Linked DNA regions of Rattus norvegicus. The protein of the gene in region 2 purifies or fractionates together with the protein of the main gene of each other region. This does not show direct contact. Links are inferred from orthologs where the notes say so. Each region holds a gene or a part of one and is shown on either strand. Other genes may lie near its edges.

Evidence for each region.
Region 1: the proteins of Nck2 (region 2) and Wipf2 purify together in Homo sapiens (affinity purification with mass spectrometry; 3 studies listed by BioGRID and IntAct, counting the BioPlex papers as one, with this or other methods). This does not show direct contact. The link is inferred for Rattus norvegicus from reciprocal best matches to the Homo sapiens genes NCK2 and WIPF2.
Region 3: the proteins of Nck2 (region 2) and Pak2 purify together in Homo sapiens (affinity purification with mass spectrometry; 3 studies listed by BioGRID and IntAct, counting the BioPlex papers as one, with this or other methods). This does not show direct contact. The link is inferred for Rattus norvegicus from reciprocal best matches to the Homo sapiens genes NCK2 and PAK2.

The regions. Positions count from the first base shown.
Region 1 is NC_086028.1:84,334,560-84,341,278, reverse strand, and holds the start of Wipf2 (WAS/WASL-interacting protein family member 2), read right to left. Parts: upstream 4,557-6,719; coding exon 4,494-4,556; intron 1-4,493. UniProt on the Homo sapiens protein: Plays an active role in the formation of cell surface protrusions downstream of activated PDGFB receptors. Plays an important role in actin-microspike formation through cooperation with WASL.
Region 2 is NC_086027.1:53,292,716-53,299,334, reverse strand, and holds part of Nck2 (cytoplasmic protein NCK2), read right to left. Parts: intron 4,459-6,619; 5' UTR 4,443-4,458; coding exon 4,217-4,442; intron 1-4,216. UniProt on the Homo sapiens protein: Adapter protein which associates with tyrosine-phosphorylated growth factor receptors or their cellular substrates. Maintains low levels of EIF2S1 phosphorylation by promoting its dephosphorylation by PP1.
Region 3 is NC_086029.1:82,241,848-82,248,466, reverse strand, and holds part of Pak2 (serine/threonine-protein kinase PAK 2), read right to left. Parts: intron 2,342-6,619; coding exon 2,241-2,341; intron 1-2,240. UniProt on the Homo sapiens protein: Serine/threonine protein kinase that plays a role in a variety of different signaling pathways including cytoskeleton regulation, cell motility, cell cycle progression, apoptosis or proliferation.

The DNA.
Region 1 (6,719 bases), on a different chromosome or scaffold from region 2:
GCCAGTAAGCAGCATCCCTCCATGGCCTCTGCATCAGCTCCTGCCTCCAGGTTCCAGCCTTTGGTGATGAACAGCAATGTGGAAGTGTAAGCTGAATAAACCCTTTCCTCCCCAACTTGCTTTTTGGTCGTATTTTGTTCAGGAATAGAAACCCTGACTAAGATGATGTGATTGCCTCAGAGTTCCTGCCTCTTTCAACCCTCTTCATCTTTCTCTTACGTCACTTCCCCAAGTTCCATCCTCAGCCTCCATCTACATGTTAATGAACAAAGCCCATCATGGTTTGCACACTATGGGCAGACATATTCCTGTGTATATACGTGTGCACACATGCATACGGAGACCAGAGGTTGATGTCCTGTGTCTTCCTCAAATGCTCTCCACTTCATTTTGGTAATGTTTGTGCTGCATTCTAGTTCTGAGACCAGGTCTCATACACAGCTTTGGCTGGCCTGCACTCAGAGACCACTGACCTCTACCTCCTGCTGCACTCAGAGACCACTCACCTCTACCTCCTGCTGCACTCAGAGACCACTCACCTCTATCTCCTGCTGCACTCAGAGACCACTGACCTCTACCTCCTGCTGCACTCAGAGACCACTGACCTCTACCTCCTGCTGCACTCAGAGACCACTGACCTCTACCTCCTGCTGCACTCAGAGACCACTGACCTCTACCTCCTGCTGCACTCAGAGACCACTCACCTCTACCTCCTGCTGCACTCAGAGACCACTGACCTCTACCTCCTGCTGCACTCAGAGACCACTCACCTCTACCTCCTGCTGCACTCAGAGACCACTCACCTCTATCTCCTGCTGCACTCAGAGACCACTGACCTCTACCTCCTGCTGCACTCAGAGACCACTCACCTCTACTCCTGCTGCACTCAGAGACCACTGGCCTCTACCTCCTGCTGCACTCAGAGACCACTCACCTCTACCTCCTGCTGCACTCAGAGACCACTCACCTCTACTCCTGCTGCACTCAGAGACCACTCACCTCTACCTCCTGCTGCACTCAGAGACCACTCACCTCTACCTCCTGCTGCACTCAGAGACCACTCACCTCTACCTCCTGCTGCACTCAGAGACCACTCACCTCTATCTCCTGCTGCACTCAGCTTCCTTTTTCCTTAAACAGGAGTGCTAGAGTAAACTGAAGCCGTGCTGCTTGTGATGTGAGCACTTCACTGACTGGGGCCTGTCTCCACAACCCTCCCAGTTTTCCATCTCACCCTCATGTCTGACCTCAGCTTCACATGCACAGCAGCAGATACAATACATCCCCAAATGAATATCCTACATATACCTAAAATGTAACCCACACCGTTGTGGTTGGGGTGTGTGTGTGTGTGTCTGAGTGACCAAACTCAGACACTCTGCAGCCTAGGCAAATGTTCCACCACTGAGCTATAGCCCCAGTCCATCTGTTAAATCTTAACACCACTCATTAAATGCAGAGTTTTTTTTCAATTATTCCATTTGTGTCTCTGTGTGTGCACATACATGTGCACTCACATGCATGTGCTCATGTATGAAGGTCAAAGACAACTTTCATGAGTCAATTCTCTCCCTCTACCATGGGACCAGACTTAGGCTGCCACGCATTCTGAGCCATTCTACCAGCCTACACCCAGGTAGGGCTTTCCAAGCTCTTAATGAACCTTTCTGTAAATCATTAGAAATCAAAACCATTCTAAAACTGGGTACGATAGCACACACTGCAGATAACCTTAGCTGGCTGAGATATCAGGATCTGGAGTTCAAGTCCAGCCTGAGATACAAGTGTAACTATGCACAAAGGCTCACGGTTTCTAACACAACTAAAGCACAGGGAAAGCCTGGGCTCTACAGTACCTTAACATATAAAAACGTTTTACAAACTGGTGGTTTCAATATGCTTGGTCCAGGGAGTGGCACTGTTAGGAGGTGTGGCCCTGTTGGATTAGGTGTGGCGCTGTTGAAGGAGAAGGTGTGGCGCTGTGGGAGTAGGCTTTGAGAGAGTTCCTAGCTGCCTGAGGATGGCAGTCTCCTGCTGCCTTCATTCAGTTCTAGATGCAGAGCTCTCGGCTCCTTCTCCAGCATCGTGTCTACCTGGACACTGCCCTGCTTCCTGGCATGATGATAATGGAACCTGTAAGCCAGCCCCAGTTAAATGTCCCTATAAGAGTTGCCTTAGGCATGGTGTCTCTTCTCAGCAATGGAAGCCCTGACTAGGACACACACCGACAGTTAATAATCCAAGGACACGACCGTACTTCACAAAAGATTTCTTTTCTTTTTCTTTTTTTTCCGGAGCTGGGGACCGAACCCAGGGCCTGCAAGCGCTCTACCACTGAGCTAAACCCCCAACCCCTCACAAAAGAAATTAAACAGGAAGCAGATATTTAAAATTTTTCAGCAACAATTAAGATTAAAAAGAATGCAGGGTCTGAAGAAACGGCTCAGAGATTTAAGAACATTTGTTCCTTTTACAGAAGACCTGAGTTCAGTTCCCAACACCCACATCAGTCAACTGACAACCACTTGTAACTCCTGCTCCAAATCTGACATTCTACTATGGCCTCCTCAGAAGACACCAGGCATACAAGCTGTCAAAGGCAAGCAAAACCACTCATACGTATAATCTGTATGTTTTTTAATTTATTAAGAAAGCAGGCTAAGAGTCAATATAGTTTACCTATTAAGTTAGTATAGTTTACAACTGTTGACAACATGACATGTTCATGACAACAGGACCACCACTCAGTACTCTACAGTGCTTGGCACAGAGAGGAAAAGTGCAAAAACTGTTCAGATGAAAGCTGGGGATGGTCAAGGCTGAGGCAGGAGGACTAGTTACATTCAGGCCAGTTTGGGCTGCTCAGTCAGACCCTGTCTTAAGCCCAAACCAACAAAGGCTGAGCACGGTGGTGTACGCCTTTAATCCCAAAACTGGGGAGGCAAAGGCAGACAGATCTCTGAGTTCCAGGCCAGCCAGGTCTACACGGTGAGACCTGGCTCAAACAAAACAAAACAAAAACCCAAGGAGCTGAAGAGATGGATCAATGGTTGAGGGTACTGGCTGCTCTTCTATAGGACCTGGGTTCAATTCCCAGCACTCACATGACAGCTCATCATTGTCTGTACTCCAGTTCAGGACCTGACAGCCTCTTCTGGCTCCTAGGACACTAGGCATTCATATGGTTCACAGATACATGCAGGCAAATCACCCACACATAAAAGAAAACAATTTTAAAAACTGTACTGAACTGACTGGGCGCAGGAAAGATGAAATGTAGCAGAAAACTACCTCCTCAGGTCCTCATCCCTCTCTCAAGAACGCCAGAGAAAGGAGGCTAACCTATTCGCATTTTTGTTATGTTTTTGGTTGGTTGGTTTTGGTAACAAGATTTCGCTATGTAGCCCCTGGCTGTCCTGGGACTTGCTCAGTAGTCCAGGCTGGCCTTGAACTCAGGGATCCACTTGCCTCTCACTTCCAAATGCCGGGGATTAAAGGCGTGTGCCACCACCGCCCAACTGAGACTAACCTATTTATAAAATAGATAGTTATGGGGACTGCTCAGAAATGCAAACCCGTTGAGGCAGACAGGCTTGTTGTCTATCTACATTGCCTGCTATTAAATGTGTCTACAAATGCGACAGGAATCCAGGATGCAGCTGGGCAGATGCTCAGGGCTACAATCCACAAGGCAGAGAAAAGAGGATCACACTGCAAGTTACAGGCTAGTAAGCTCTAGGCCAGTCACATAGTAAGATCCTGTCTCAAAATCCGAGGAGAAAATTTTTAGTTAAAATTTAAATACACCGAAAAAAAGAAAAAGAAAAAAAATTTAAATACATATTAAAAGTATAGATGGTATTTAAAACAATTAGTAGATAGGGTTATTTTATGTCTGTAATCCCAGCAGTTAAGAAAAATGAGGCAGGGGTTTGGGGATTTAGCTCAGTGGTAGAGTGCTTGCCTAGCAAGCGCAAGGCCCTGGGTTCGGTCCCCAGCTCTGGAAAAAAAGAAAAAAAAAAAAAAAGAGAAATGAGGCAAATTTAAGGCCAGCCTGGACTACACGGCAAATACAAGGCCAGCCTGGACTATATAGCGAGATTTTGTTGTAACAAACAAAAAACAAAACCACAAGAGGGTAAGTGCTGGAGAGACGGCTCAGTGATTAAGAACACTGCTGATCTTGCAGAGGACCCAGGTTCCACAGCTGCTGTAACTCCATTCCTGAGGATCCCAAGGCTAACTTCCACCTCCTGGGCACCGGGCATGCAAGTGGCACATATACATACAAGCAGGGAAAACACTCATCCGTGTCAAGTATATAAAAGAAAAGTAAACACAGCAAAAAGCAAGCTCACAGTGAAAGAGCAGTTAGGTAAGAAAATCTAGAAGTTTTAAACAAAGAAGGCTGGAAAGAAAAAGAAGAGAACAGTACGAGAAGCCCACCAATTTACTTAGAGGTTTGAAGATAACCCAGTGGAGAGGTTACCTACCTGACTGAAGGTGGGAGGTGGGGGAGGACCAGGCGGGGGTGGGGGGGGAGGAGGAATTGGCATGCTTGCCCTGCTCCCAGTTGGCACCGTTCTCTCTCCGTTTTTAGTTGCAGCTTTAGGTCATTCATAGACCTATAAACAAAACCAGAATTCAAAAGAACAGCGTTAAAATTAGAGGCTCTGAGTACCCAGGAAGTCTAGGATTAGACAAGGACCAGAGGTCCTGAACACTTCGTCCCCTACATAAATGCTCTATAAAATGCCACCTTACAGACTCCTTTTATAAATGATTCTGTTTTGTGGTACTGAGGATCAAACCCAGGGCCTCACGCATGCTAAGCACAGGCTTCACCACTGATGTCTATTCCCAGCCCAACTAAAAGACAAAAACAACCAAAAAAACCTCAATTTTAGAAGTTTTAGGTTCACAGCAAAACAGAGCAAGAAGCACCAAGAGTTTCTAGGTAACTGTCCATGCACGCACCTCGCCACCGTGTGACTGGCTGGTGGGTCATACAGTACAAGTGTGTTTGATTCTATAAGATGCTGCAAATGGCTATACCAACTTTGGGTTTGCATCAGCAACACAGAATTCCTGTTGCTCCACATCTCTGCCAGCACTTGGTGCTGTCGGTTTGGATCTTGGCCTCGCTAGTAAGCATGTACTGTTCAGTTTGCAATCTTGCTTAATTCACAATTTCCAAGGAGCCTGGTGTTGATCATGTTTTCATATGCCCACCTGCCATTGTGCATCTTCTTGGCTGAGGCATCTGTTTAAGTCCTCTGACTTGGGGGTGGAGGGTGTCAGGGCTTGAAGGTGCGGTGAGCCTATATTCTATCAATTAGCTATTCAAAAAGATTTATCTATTTTAGTTTTTTTTTTAAATGAGTACACTATTGCTATCTTCAGATACACCAGAAGAGGGCATCGGACCTCATTACAGATGGCTGTGAGCTGGGAATGTTGGATGTGGTTGCTGGGAATTGAACTCAGGACCTCTGGAAGAGCAATCAGTGCTCTTTTTTTTTTTTTTTTTTCCGGAGCTGGGGACCGAACCCAGGGCCTTGCGCTTCCTAGGTAAGCGCTCTACCACTGAGCTAAATCCCCAGCCCCCTGATTTTTTTTTTAACAGCCTTTTAAGAACATAAAGTCACTGGCAGCAGTGGTCCAGGCCTTTAGTCTCAGCATTTGGGAAGCAGTGGTCGAGGCCAACCTGGTAGACAAATCAGAGCTATACAGAAAACCCTGTCTTGGAAAGTGTGTGTGTGTGTGTGTGTGTGTGTTTTCACATATCTAGGATATATATATTCTCTATATATGCACATATGTATATATATATGTGTGTGTATATGCACATATGTACAAACACACATATAAAGTCATTCTCAGTTTGAGAGGCATTCAAGAGCAGGCTGTGACCGTATTTGACTAATAGGCCACAGTTCACCTGTACCTTGGAATAGTCACACCCATGGGACTTGATTAGAGAATAAATACCACATGAGAAATTAGCTACACACTTGGTCACAAAACACTTAGCATTTGAAACCTACAGCTATCTGCCCATTACAATTTGCTTAAGTTCATACAGGACTGAACTGAGGGATGGACGGACAGATTGACTGATGTAAGTCATTACACTGGCTAAAGATAAAACGGAGAGCTCAAGAACATCAAGTTCTCCAAAGCTTGGTCCCAAGAAAATCTCTTTTCTTGATCTCCAAAAATGGAAGCCAGAATAACCCGGGCACAAGGAATCTAAACTCAGATAGGAAAGAGAAAATAAAGGGCTGGAGAGATGGCTCAGAGGTCACGAGCATTTGCTGCTCTTGTAGCTCCCATATCAGGCTGCTCACAAGAACCTGTAACTCCAGTTCCAGGGGATCCAATGCCCTCTCTGACCTCCATGGGAACCCACCCACATGCAGCACACAGACACACAGAAACAAAAGTAAAAAACATATCTTTAAAAAAAAAAGAAGAAGAAGAAACAAAGAGGTCAATTCGTCAGTGCACAGAGGAACTGCTTCTGAACAAAGCAACTATGGCTGGGGCAAGGAGACTTGCGGCAGTCCACAGTAAAGATGGAGACCGTGTGGACTAAGCCAAGCTTAACAGTCAAGCTAGCGTGGCAAGAAGGCCACAGGAAGGCCGAGTTTTGAACTCCTTACAGGGATATCTGTGATCCACCGTGAATAACAAGTATTTCCAATAGTCTCTCGATG
Region 2 (6,619 bases):
GCACAGGAAGATTCGCTGCCAAGTCCCAGAGGAAGTTTGAAGCATGAAAATGAGAAAATCAGCAACGTGATAGACATGGATAGAATAAACGGGTTAATATAAATTAAAAGATGGTTGGGGAGTTGGCCTAAGCTAAGGCCAAAGGCATTGTGTTAAAAAGAAAAAAGTCTCCCTGTCCTTATTCAGACCAAGGCCAGGCATAGAAAAGCTCAAACGGTTACATTTAGCCTCTGGGGTTTATATTAAAAGAGATACTGGGAGACAGGAGGAATTACAGAAAGCACTCGCACCCAGCCTACAAACTGGGGGAAGACGGGCTGCAGAGAAAGAAGATTTCACACATAGAGATCGTGGTAAAGATGCCTCCCCTTCTTCCTCGACAGGAAGCCTGTACTCAGATAACAAGATCTCTCTTTGTCCAATAGCAAAGGTGATCGTGACAGGTAATAAAAACAAAGGAACAGACAGCAACAACAAAGTACTAAAAACGGAAACCAAGCCAGTGAACTAGCTTAATGGATAAGGGTGCTTACCATCAAATCTATAGACCTGATTGATTAGTTCAAACCCAGGGACTTACAAGGTAGAAAGAAAGAACAGATGCCGTGGGCTGTTTTCTCACCCATTTCTCACCCAGACATACATGTTGTGGCACATACCCCCCCCCCCCCTTTGTATGTGCATGCACAGATAAATTGTAGGAAAAAAAAATTGAACTACTTCCCCCTGAATCCCAAAGGCCCCTTGACTATAAAAATCAACTCCTATTAATAAATATGGATACCTAAAACATAGTTTATCTGTATTTTTGCAATCTTTCATGCTTAATGCAAATGTTTCCAAAGAACTATGTGTTGAAACTGAGACAGAAGTTCACAGAAGAGCTGTCACTCACTAAAGCGATTTGTTCTGCTTGGCATAGCCCTGGAGGGCAGAGTCAGAGCCAAGGGGAGGAAGTTTGAGAAATGTAAAATTTCGATTCTATTTTAGGAAGCACTTTCTAACAATCTGTATTCTCCAAAAATGGAATTGGCCTTTTCTAGCAGTCGAAGCATTCCAGCAGGGCTGGATGGCGGTCTGTCGGTGACAGGGAAGCAGGCCCAGCACCAGGGGGAAGATGTGCTGCCTTGCTCTGTACCTTAGGGTTGTGAAACAAGAGGAACTGATCACACGCAGGGAAGTCTGAATATACTGGGCAAAGATAAAGCCCGGAGCTCTGACCCTGCCTTATCTTGACTTCTAAGAAAGTCAATAAGGCAGTCACTCGAGGAGCTCTCCATGACCTTGGAGGCTCACTTAGTCCACCTCCAAGTCCTGTGTGTTTTGTAGTTTATGGAATTCTGAGATATTTTTGAGGCAAAATATGTCAACAATGCTCAACAGTACTACAGAGGGTGTGGTAAGAGGGAGTTGGAAAATCAGTCAAATACTCTCAGGACCACACTAAAGCACTGACCCATTCAACATGCCTCTTTATCTATCGCACCTCACTGAGAGTCCTGAGACTAGGACAGAAGCATTTCTTTCCAGTGACTGTTTTTAAACCAAAGAAAAAGAATACACAGGGGAGAAAGTTTAGAGAAAAAAAAAAGACTTAGAATGCTAATAACATATGGAGCTTTCCCAGCAGTCTCAGAGTCTACACTAGCCACCGATAACCTGAGAAAAATCCAACCACAGCACAAAATCCCTCCCAGTGACCGAAGGCTTCACCCACTGAAGGGTGAGCAGTGACCTTTGTGGATTTTACAAGGAAGAAGACGGATTCCCTGCAACACCCACCACACTCAGTGTGATTTTGTTTTCAATTTTCCCATAGTCCCCTCACCCTGCCCCTGCTAATGAAACTAATTCTCTTCCAGTAACACACAAAAAAGCCTACATACACTCAGCCCAGGTGATGATACTGGCTTACTTCCACAACAAACCTCAAGTGGCGAGCTGGCCTTGTTGCCTATAGACAACTTTATACTTTACCTGAGGAGGCAGCAACTGTAAACTGTCAGCTCAGTTCAGTTGTCCTTCCACAGAGCCCTCCCAATTATATTCTCAGACAATCTGAGGCAGTAACCATGGTTGGTGAGGACAATGTACACACTCAGGTATGCTTCCCTACCACTGAGGTAGCGAACCCCTGTCTGATCAGGTGCTATGGATTACTGGGGTTCGAATGTATCTCCTTACCTTGTGCTGAATTTAATCCCCTACAGAGGTAGTAAGAAAGAAGAAACTGGTTCCTATAACAGTGGTTAGAAGTGGGGCCTTTGGGTGATAGCAGTTGCATAAATTCTGTTTACAGAGGGAACAGTATCAAAAACACACACATACAATTCTTTATCCCTCCTGGTCTCTTGCCATAAGGAACTTGTACCATACTGAAAATTTGCCAAGAAGGAGATATACATACAGCCACTTGACTTTGGACCATGAGTGTAAGCCAAATTAAGCAGTGTTCTTTATATAGCCTAACCTCAAGCAGTTTGTTACAGTGTCAGGAAATGAACTAATATACCAGAGGAAGACAAGAGGCACAGCTATGAAGAATGTGATAACCAAACAGGGCTTATGGAGGTATCCATCTGAGAGACTTCTGATGTCATGTTTCTAATCACCCCAACTACACATTAACCAACTGCCCGAAACTGTAGAATAAACTATGCTATCACCGAAGACGAGGGGAGAAGTGCCTTCTCCTTCTGTGTGCAGAGGCCAGCATGGGAATTTGTAAGATAAAAGGTGATACACTGACAGAAAAAGCTACTAAACTTGTCATGATTCTAAGTCAGGGTCCTCTACTGTCTGGATACAAGGAGACAGACAGCTGTGTAGGGGTCCTTAGCACCATGAGGAGGAGTTGATTTACCCAAGATCCCAAACTGTATAATTTATCCAGAGAATGATTAGTGTTTATCTTAATCTCAATATAAAACCCCAGAAGGTAGGAGGCTATCAACATTAATACCGGCCCCAAAACACATACACTACATACACATACACACACACATGCACCACATACATACACACACTCCTACCACACATACACACACACAGCACATACACATACACACACACACACACACACACACACACAGGCACCACATATATACACTACCCACACTCCTACTACACATACACACACATAGCACATACATACACACACACCTATACACACACTATGCACCTACCATATACAACACACCCTACAACTACTCCACACACACAAACACACTGAATACACAGCCACATACATACACATACTATACACATTCCTACCATACACACACACATATTACACACCTACCACATACATATACACCCCACAACATATACACCTACTCCATACACACAAACATACTGAATACACAGCCACATACATACACTACACACATTCCTACCACACACAGCACATACACACACACTATACACCTACCACACACATACACACATACTACACATGCAAACACATACTACATATCTAACACACACACACACCTACACACACACTACACACCTACCACATATAACACACCCCATAACATACATACATACCTACTCCATACACACAAACACACTGTATACACAGCCACATACACACACACACTACACACATTCCTATCACACACAACACGTACACACACACTATACACCTACCACACACACACACACACACAACACATGCATACACACACTATGTATCTAACACACACACACACACACACACACACACACACTACACATGCATACACACACTACGTATCTAACACAGACACACACACAGAGACACAGACACACACGCACACACACACACACACGCACACACACTACACATGCATACACACACTACATACCTAACACACACACACTACACATGCATACACACACTACATACCTAACACACACACACACACTACACATGCATACACACACTACATACCTAACACACACACACACACTACACATGCATACACACACTACATACCTAACACACACACACACACTACACATGCATACACACACTACATACATAACACACACACACACAACACATGCATACACACACTACGTATCTAACACACACACACACACAGACACAGACACAGACACACACGCACGCACGCACGCACGCATGCACGCACACGCACACTGAAGCAGCAGTGCTAACCCTGGCTGTTCCTGTGGGACGACCTGCTATTCCAGGTGGGGTATGGACACTCACCTAGCGTGTCCTTGAGATTCTTCACCAGGGACCCCTTCTTCAGGCTGTTCTTACGCTCCACGTAGTTGGAAGGCACGTAGCCTGTCCTGTTGGCCGCATTCCTCACCCGCCACCACGTCTTGGAGTCGTCCAGCAGCCACAGCCGCTCGTTCTTCCTGATGTCGAGCTCCTGGTCCTGCTGGGCAGTGTAGTCCCACTTGGCTATGACAATGACTTCTTCTGTCATCTTTCATGGAGCCCTTCTGCCAGCAAAACATTTAAAGATGCTCATTAGCTACCTGAACCCCTCTCCTCTGACAGATTTGAAAAGCTGTCAACGACAGCTCCCATGGCCACACTGCCCCCGGTCTCCTCTCAGCCCCTTGAAGCACTTGCCCTTAGAATGACCTACCCGTAGGCCCTAGTGCTGCTGAGAAACAGCATCTTGTAATCAAAGCCTGCAGCCCCTCTCAGTGCACTAAGCACACTGCGCATTTACTGACGCTAGATGCGAACTTGGGGGCAAAACACTCAGAATAATAATCTCATGATTAAAGCGCTCACTTGGCAAGTGACACCGCCCTTACAGCTGATAGGTTTGCACTCCTATTTTCAGCACATGCTGAGGATTTTGAAGATATTTAATAAATATAACACACCCAAACCACTCCTATAAACTCAAATTCAATTAATGTACTACCAATGCACTGAGGTATTTGGAGATGGATGGTAAAATACACCAAGAAAATTTGTAAAAACACTGTTGAAATGTAAACAAAGCCTAGACAACAGCGACGCGCCCAGGCTAGCTAGTTTTGACAATTCAATATAATATGTTAACACTGGAGAAATTAGCTAGGGGCTAATTTCCTGCATAAATAACTGTACAGAACTATTCCTATAAATATAAAATCATACCGTAAAACAAAGCAATACTTGGATATTCACTTCTTTATTCAAATTGCCCAAACTGGGAAATAACCAAAGATACCCTCCAGGAGGTGAACTGCTAAACCAATTGTCTGGTTTAAGGCAGTGGGATGTTTAAGTGCTAGGGAAAGAGCAGAAGAAAATGCAGACGCTTCCTAGACCTGAAGGCAGGCAGCGAGGCCAGAAAGGCTGGGCATGTGGATTTGGACATGGGGTCTCCTTTGAGCAAACTTTACTGAAGTCCCTGGGAACCCTGTTCTCTGTAGCTTTTGTGTCCATCTCTGCATCATCCAGTCTTACGTTAGCAAGAATCATCCACTGCTGACACCTGACCAGGTTCCTAGGCTCCCACAATGCTGCGTGGGATGGCTGTTCGGTCACCTGTCCTCCGTTAGCAAGAATCCTGTGAGGTGGGCTCATCCAGGATCCACCACACCACCCTCCTGTCTGGCTGTGAACTCCCACTTATCCTCAAAGGAGCTGAGCTCTTCTCGACGGTAGAACTCTGTGGTAGGATCCCCTGAACAGTCTGCCTTGCTGTCTCCTAACTAGCTCTTAAATAGCCATTCCATTATATGACATTCTAGGAAAGGCAAAAATCTCTGGAGACACAGGGCCGACCGGTAAAGAGGGAGGAGGGGGCAGAAGCAAGCGATGCAGAGAGATGGTGAACACATGTAATTGTAATTGCAAATGTCTGTCAAGACATGTTTGCTGTGTAGATCAAAATACATCCTAACACTACTCCAAAGTACAGCTTATTACAGCAACAAAGATGGCACAAATCTGATGAAGTCAGTCTGGGAAGTTCTAGATAGGAAAGAACACAGTACACACAGGTATCACCTACTTTAACAACAACTGCACCCTTCTCGGGTAGAAAATGCACAAGGGTTCTCGCAGCAGCCCCTCTACTGACTGGGTATGCCCCTCAATTATGGAAGGAGGAAGGGCAAGATGCTTGACCCAAACCCCTCTCTCCTCTTGACAGAGTTCTCCTGATCTTACCTCATGAGTTCAGAGTCAGGTAACCCAGGCACCTGACCCATGGAGGCATGAATTTGACACGTTCTACCACATTCAGGCACATACGAATAATTACCACATTAGATAAAAATCATTTGGGAAGAAGAAAACCCTTGTACACTGTACATATAATATACATAATATCCAAGAGGGTGGAGTTGACACAAAGTTCTTCTCAAAGCCCGAGACGAATAGCTACCTGCCCTCAGAGGACACCCCAGCTTGCAGCTCCCACATCTGGTTTCTCTATCAGATTAGACCTGAAAAGCATCACAGTGGGCATCTCTTTTAAAGTCAAGGACAGAAATGATAGCTGTAATAAAAAGGAGGTCCACAGGGGATTCCATTTAAATACCAGGTCTGCTGCTGAATTATATAATTTCCAACATGATTTTAAATAGGAACAGATCATCATTTAAATCAGTTGATATCCAGCCAACCAAAGCTCTCTACTGAATTTCCTTCTGC
Region 3 (6,619 bases), on a different chromosome or scaffold from region 2:
GGCCAACGACAACACCCAGGCAGTCGTGTTACGGAAGGCTCTGAGCTGCTGTGTGGGTGCTGGGAGCTGAACCAGGTCTCCTGCAAGAACAGCCAGTGCTCCGAACCTGAGCCCTCTACAGCCCTACTCACTTATTTTTGACACAGAGTTTTAACTATATAGCCCAGCCTGGCCTGGAACTCAAAATATTTTAAATTCCAGTTGCCTTAGTTGCCCACAGTTGCCTTAGTATTGGGATTAAAATGTACAGTGGTTTTATTCTGTTTTTTGAGACAGGGTTTCTCTGTGTAACCTCAGCCGTCCTAGGATTCACTTACTCTGTAGACCATGCTGGCCTCAAATTCAGAGATCAACCTACCTCAAATGCTGGGATTAAAAGTGTATGCCACCATGTCTGGCAAAAAGTCTAGGTTTTTTTAAAAGGACTATGTGGTCAACTGACAGGCTCTAGTGTGGTCCTCCAGTACCTTCCAAATTTTGTTTGAGATAGGATCTTCTACTGGCCTAAAATGCTACCAAATAGGTTGGGAGCGTGGAATCACGCAACAGCATTTGGCTTTTTTTTTTTTTTTTTTTTTTTTGGTTCTTTTTTTCGGAGCTGGGGACCGAACCCAGGGCCTTGCGCTTCCTAGGTAAGCGCTCTACCACTGAGCTAAATCCCCAGCCCCAGCATTTGGCTTTTTATGAGTTTTAAGGAAAGATCTGAATTCAGATCTTTTCATACTTGCAAGATAAGCATTTTGCCAACTGAGCCATCATCCTATCCCTAAAAGTTCATTTCTCTGTGTCTTAGTCATGGTTTTACTGCTGTGAACAGACACCATGACCAATGCAGCTCTTATAAGGACAACATTTAATTGGGGCTGGCTTACAGGTTCAGAGGTTCAGTCCATTATCATCAAGGTGGGAACATGGCAGTGTCCAGACAGGTATGGAGCAGGGGGAGCTGAGAGTTCTATGTCTTCATCTGAGGACTGCTAGCGGAACACACTGACTTCCAAGCAGCTACAATGAGGGTCTTAAAGCCCACACCCAATGGCACACCTACTCCACAGGGCCATACCTTCTAATAGTGCCACTTCCTGGGCCAAGCCTATACAAACCATCACACTCTGTACCTGTTTTTCATAACTATAATTGATAGGCTTGGCTCTCTGGAGAAAAGGGTCATCCAATTACTAATCCCTTTGAAGGCTATGCTCTGTATGTGACTGACTATTCTGCCTGCATGTACGTATGTCCACCTATATGTTTCATGCCCTCAGAGGTCAGAAACAGGTGTCAGATACACCGGAACTAGAATTGTGGATCATTGTGAGCCACATGTGGGTGCTGGACACGGAACCCAGATCCTCTGCAAGAGCAACAAATGCTCTAATTTTCTGAGTCACACTAATATTTTTATGACCAGTAAGAATTGATAACTAATTCTATGTAGTCAGTGTATAACCCCACACTCTGACACCTAAAAGCAGGAGAATTTAGAATTCCAGGTTTTACTGGGACATAGTGAACTTTGTTTTAAACAAACAACAACAACAAATAAAGAAAGGATCATCATATGGGATAGAAAAGTTCAATACCAGTCATGTGACCCCATAGTTATCACCTTGGCACATGGACAGCAGAGACAGGAGGACTAAATTCAAGACCAGCCTTAACTACAAAATAAAGTTTGTGGGAGGCCAGCCTGGGCTACATAAAAATCCAGTCTCAAAAAACCAGAGAGAAAAGTTAATTTTAAGCCTAACATTGAACAAAATGCTGGAGTTCCTTTTTTGGTTTCTTATTTTGACTGTGTGCACATTTTCAGAAGCCAGTGGATCATCTCAGGCATGGTTGTCTTCCTCCTTGAGAAAGGTCGCTTGCTCTTACTGCGTCACCATAACCACACAACTCCATGAGCATGCAGTCTCTCTTGTCCCCCACTACATAGTAGGAGCACTACAATTACTTTATCTGGTTATGTGCAAGCTGGAGATTTGAACTCAGGTCCTCATACTTGCATAGTAGGTCTTTCTCTCTCTCACGTTTTGGAGACTGGGTTTCTCCATGCAGCTTTGACTGTCCTGAAACCATGTAGACCAAACTGGTCCTGAAGTTAGAGATCCACCTGCCTCTGCCTCCCCAGTCCTGGATTAAAGGCTGCTACTGCCCAGCTAGTGAGTGCTTCTGTCCACAGAGCGATTCCCCAACCTTTCAGCACTGCTTTAATAAACAAACTTCAATTGGTAACTTACAGTGAACTCTCCCGTAACAGCATCAAAGCCAACATGGATGGTATGCTCAAAATCAGACGGCGGAGAAATCTCTGGCCGTTCTTTTTCTTTCTTTTTACTTCCTGAGGGATGAGGGAGAAAATTATCTCTTTAAACAAAGCTAATTATGGCATTTGTTACTGTGTTTGTATTTTCCTGAAACCAATTATGAATAAAATTATGATAGGACCCAGGTACACACATCTCGCGCCCTGACGGAGGGGGCCTCCAATGACACAATTTACAAACGCCACTTGTGAAAGCTGATTTCTTCCTTCATTCCCTTCCTCTTCTTCCAACTTGCTTTTCTGAGACAGGGCCTCATTTTCCAGCCCACACTGGCCTCAAATTCATGGCAATTCTCCTGTATAGCCTAAGAATATTAAGATTGAATGCATGAGTCACCATACCTGGCTTATACTTTCCTTTTTATTACAGTCTGTAAATATTACATCTTTAAATTACCCAACTCTCCTATAGTTGCACTGTAAAAAAAATTACTGCAACATCAGTAACATTTTTTGCACATTTAAACACATCAATTCCTTCTCCTCTCCAGTCCTCCTCCTCTAATCTGTAGCTCTTAAAACCATGAATCTATTTCTGGATGCTCTGCTCTCTTAAAGTCATCTCTCTATCATTATGCCAACCCCGTGTACCTTGATTACTGTCATCCTTATAACAAACATCAAAAGAACAGTCTAAGGCCTTTTTTTTTTTTTTTTTTTTTTTTTTACTGTTTTCAAATCTGCTAGGATGATTTCAGGTCCTCTACATTTCTATATGAAATTAACAATGCTTTACATTTCTACAAAAAGCCTTCTCAGGCTGTGACGGGAACTGCATTAACCTATAAATCAACTTAGAATTTATACACATTTTGCTTTCTGATCCATGGCCAATAACAAATCTTTATAAATTAGGAGTTTAATTTCTCTCAGCAATGTTTGCTAGTTATTGGGAGACAGAATACTGACCCTGCCATTACTTTCATATTTCTGTAAAGGAATACTTATTTTTGACGCTACAGTTTGTGGGTTGGAGTGTAACTCAGAGGTAGCTTGCTTGCTTAGCATGACTGGAGCACAGGGATCAGCCCCACCAGAGAACACAAAATAAACTTCATTCTTTAGGCCTGACCTTTGAACACTCTCTTACTTACTTTAAAATCTGTGTAGGCCTCACAGAGTTTTCTATAAGTAATATGCTATAGTGAACCAAAGAGAGGTGGCCATATCCTTCCTAATTTGGAGCTTTCTTACTCTTTCATTCATCGCACCTTACTGAATTGGCTAGTCCCCAGACCATGGTTAAGTAAAGGCCTTAGTAAGTATTTTTGTGTTTTTACTGAAACAGGAAATGAAAATAGTCAGTTTTTTTTAGTTTAATAAACAGTCAATGTTTCTAACATGCCCTTTATCAAATTTATTACATTTCCTTTGATTTCAAGTTTGCTCAGCACATGTCAGAAATGAATGTTGAGTTATGTTCAGTGTCTTTTCTACTTGTACAACCACACTGCTTATCCTAAGTTACACCACCTTAATCGTCCTTGCAGTCATGAAACAAGCTCTATCTGGCCCTGGTCTATCGCTCTTCTCACACATTGTTGGAGTACCACTGTTAAAACTTCGCCAACTTCAAGAGAAAAATATAGCTCTCTTGTAATGTTTTGGTCTGGGTAAACTGAAGTCACTAAATGTGTCAGAAACATCTCATATTCTATTTTATGGAAATTATATAGAATTGTTTTATTTCATCCATAAACATTTTATTGATTCACTAATGAAGATAGGTAGGTTTTAATAATTTTCTTTGTAGAAAGGGTTTTAGCTATAAACTCAATTCTTCTAGGACATACACAGTCTTTAATCATTTTTATAAAAGTAAACTTTGGAAATCTATATCGTTTAAGAAAAAAATTCACTTTCCATAACTTGAATTTATCAGTACATACTTGTATATAACATTCCATTGTGCCTTAGTGAAGACTGAACCTGGGCTTGTATGGGCTAACCAGATGCTCCGCCCTGGCTTTCACTCCCAATTCCAGCAAACCTTTCATTATAACCTGACATGCAATTTAAAACAACAACAACAACAACAACAACAACAACAACAACAACTACTACTTCACATAAACAGGTGGTAGTGGCACATGCTTTTAATCCTAGCACTCGGGAGGCAGAGGCAGAGGTAGGCAGATCTCTATGAGTTCAAGGCCAGCCTGGTCTACAGGGCAAATTCCAGAACAACCAAGGCTACACAGTGAAACCTCATCTCGAACAAAACAAAATATAAAAAAAAAGTAGAGTTCCTATAGGCTACAGTTTCGGCTGCTTTATTGATCATTTTTTGCAATTGGCTGAATCTAGTTTTATTATTCTTTCCCATCTATGCTGTATTTACTTGTTTGAGTTGTATGTATGATCCAATGAGGTTTAATATATTCATAATGTCACAATCATTATCACCATATAACTAGTATATTTTATCAACCCCTAAAGAAACCTTTTCTCGGGCTGGAGAGATGGCTCAGTTGTTAAGAGCACTGACTGTTCTTCCAGAGGTCCTGAGTTCAAATCCCAGCAACCACATGGTGGTTCACAACCATCTGTAATGAGATCTGACGCCCTCTTCTGGTGTGTTTGAAGACAGCTACAGTGTACTTATATATAATAAATAAATTTTTAAACAAACAAACAAACAAAAAAGAAACCTTTTCTCAATTAGCAATCACTCCTCATTCTACTCTAACCCTTCATCAAATAATAATGTCTTTTCAGTTTTTTATGACTTTTATGTGCATGTGTCTGCTTGAGTACATGCGCACTATTTATGTGCAGGTACCCTCAAAGGCCAAAAGAAGCCATTAGCTGCCCCAGAACTGAAGCTCCAGGTAGCTGTCATCTATGTGATGTGAGCGCTAGGAACCAAACCTGGATCCTCTGTAACAACAGCAAGTGCTCAGTGCTCCTAACTGCTGACTCATCTCTCCATCCTCCAGTTTCTTTAAAAAAAAAAAAAAAAATTGTTTCCTAGTATGTATATGGACCATATGTATATAAGGGCACCACCTTTACACAGTATCCACGGAGGTCAGAAGAAGCATCAGATTCCTGGAACTGGAGTGTCAGATGGCTGTGAGCCATCCTAAGAGCATTAGGAACCAAACCCAGCAATAACTGTTCTTAAATCCAAGCCACCTCGCCAACTCCTGCGTCTTTTTTTCATATTATTTCTTTATTTCCCTTATTCTATTTAATTTGTTCATTATTTCCAACTATTATCTTTCACATTTCCCATTCAGTTACCTTTGAAAAAGAAAACCGTGGGAGAATTTTCTTGATTCTTCTCTCAGCCTCCAACTGCTACACATTTGTTCTGTTAATTTTTGTTTTTTCTTATCCTTTTTTTTTTTTGGTTCTTTTTTTTTTCGGAGCTGGGGACCGAACCCAGGGCCTTGCGCTTCCTAGGCAAGCGCTCTACCACTGAGCTAAATCCCCAACCCCAATTTTTGTTTTTTCAAGACATGATTTCTCTGTGCAGTCCTAGCTGTCCTGGAACTTAGAGATCTGCCGGCCTCTGCTTCCCAAGTGCTGGGGATTAAAGGCATGCGCTACCACTGCCTGGCTTGCTCTGCTGATTTTTTTTTTTTTTTTAAAGATTTACTTTATGTCTATGAGCATGCTGTAGCTGTCTTCAGACACACCAGAAGAGATAGGTATCAGATCCCATTACAGATGGTTGTGAGCCACCATGTGGTTGCTGGGAATTGAACTTAAGACCATTGGAAAAGCAGTCAGTGCTCTTAACCACTGAGACAGCTCTCCAGCCACCTGTTCTGTTAATTTTAAATACTCATTCCCCAAGAATTATTTCTCACTTGATCATTATTTTCTTCTGACAACAGTTTTCGTGAATTTGTCTTCTGTCCTCAAAGAGTAGGTTGTGTATATGTGTGCGTTGGCTGAGATATTTGACTTACTGGTTTTCTGCTTAAATGGAATGCTTCTTTTAAGTTTCTTTTTTTTTTTTTAAAGATTTATTTCATGTATGTCAGTATACTGTAGCTGTCTTCAGACACACCAGAAGAGGGCATCAGATCTCCATTACAGGTGGTTGTGAGCCACCATGTGGTTACTGGGAATTGAACTCAGGACCTCTGGAAGAGCAGTCAGTGCTCTTAACCGCCTGAGCCATCTCTCCAGCCCTTAAGTTTCTATTTAACAAAATTACAGATTTTTGGAGATAGGGCAATGTAGCCTTTTCACTTAGTAGTCCAAGCTGGCCTCACAGGAATGTGTCATCTGGTACTCCCTGCTGCTCTGGGCTCTTCTGTCTCCGTGATGTCTGGTGAC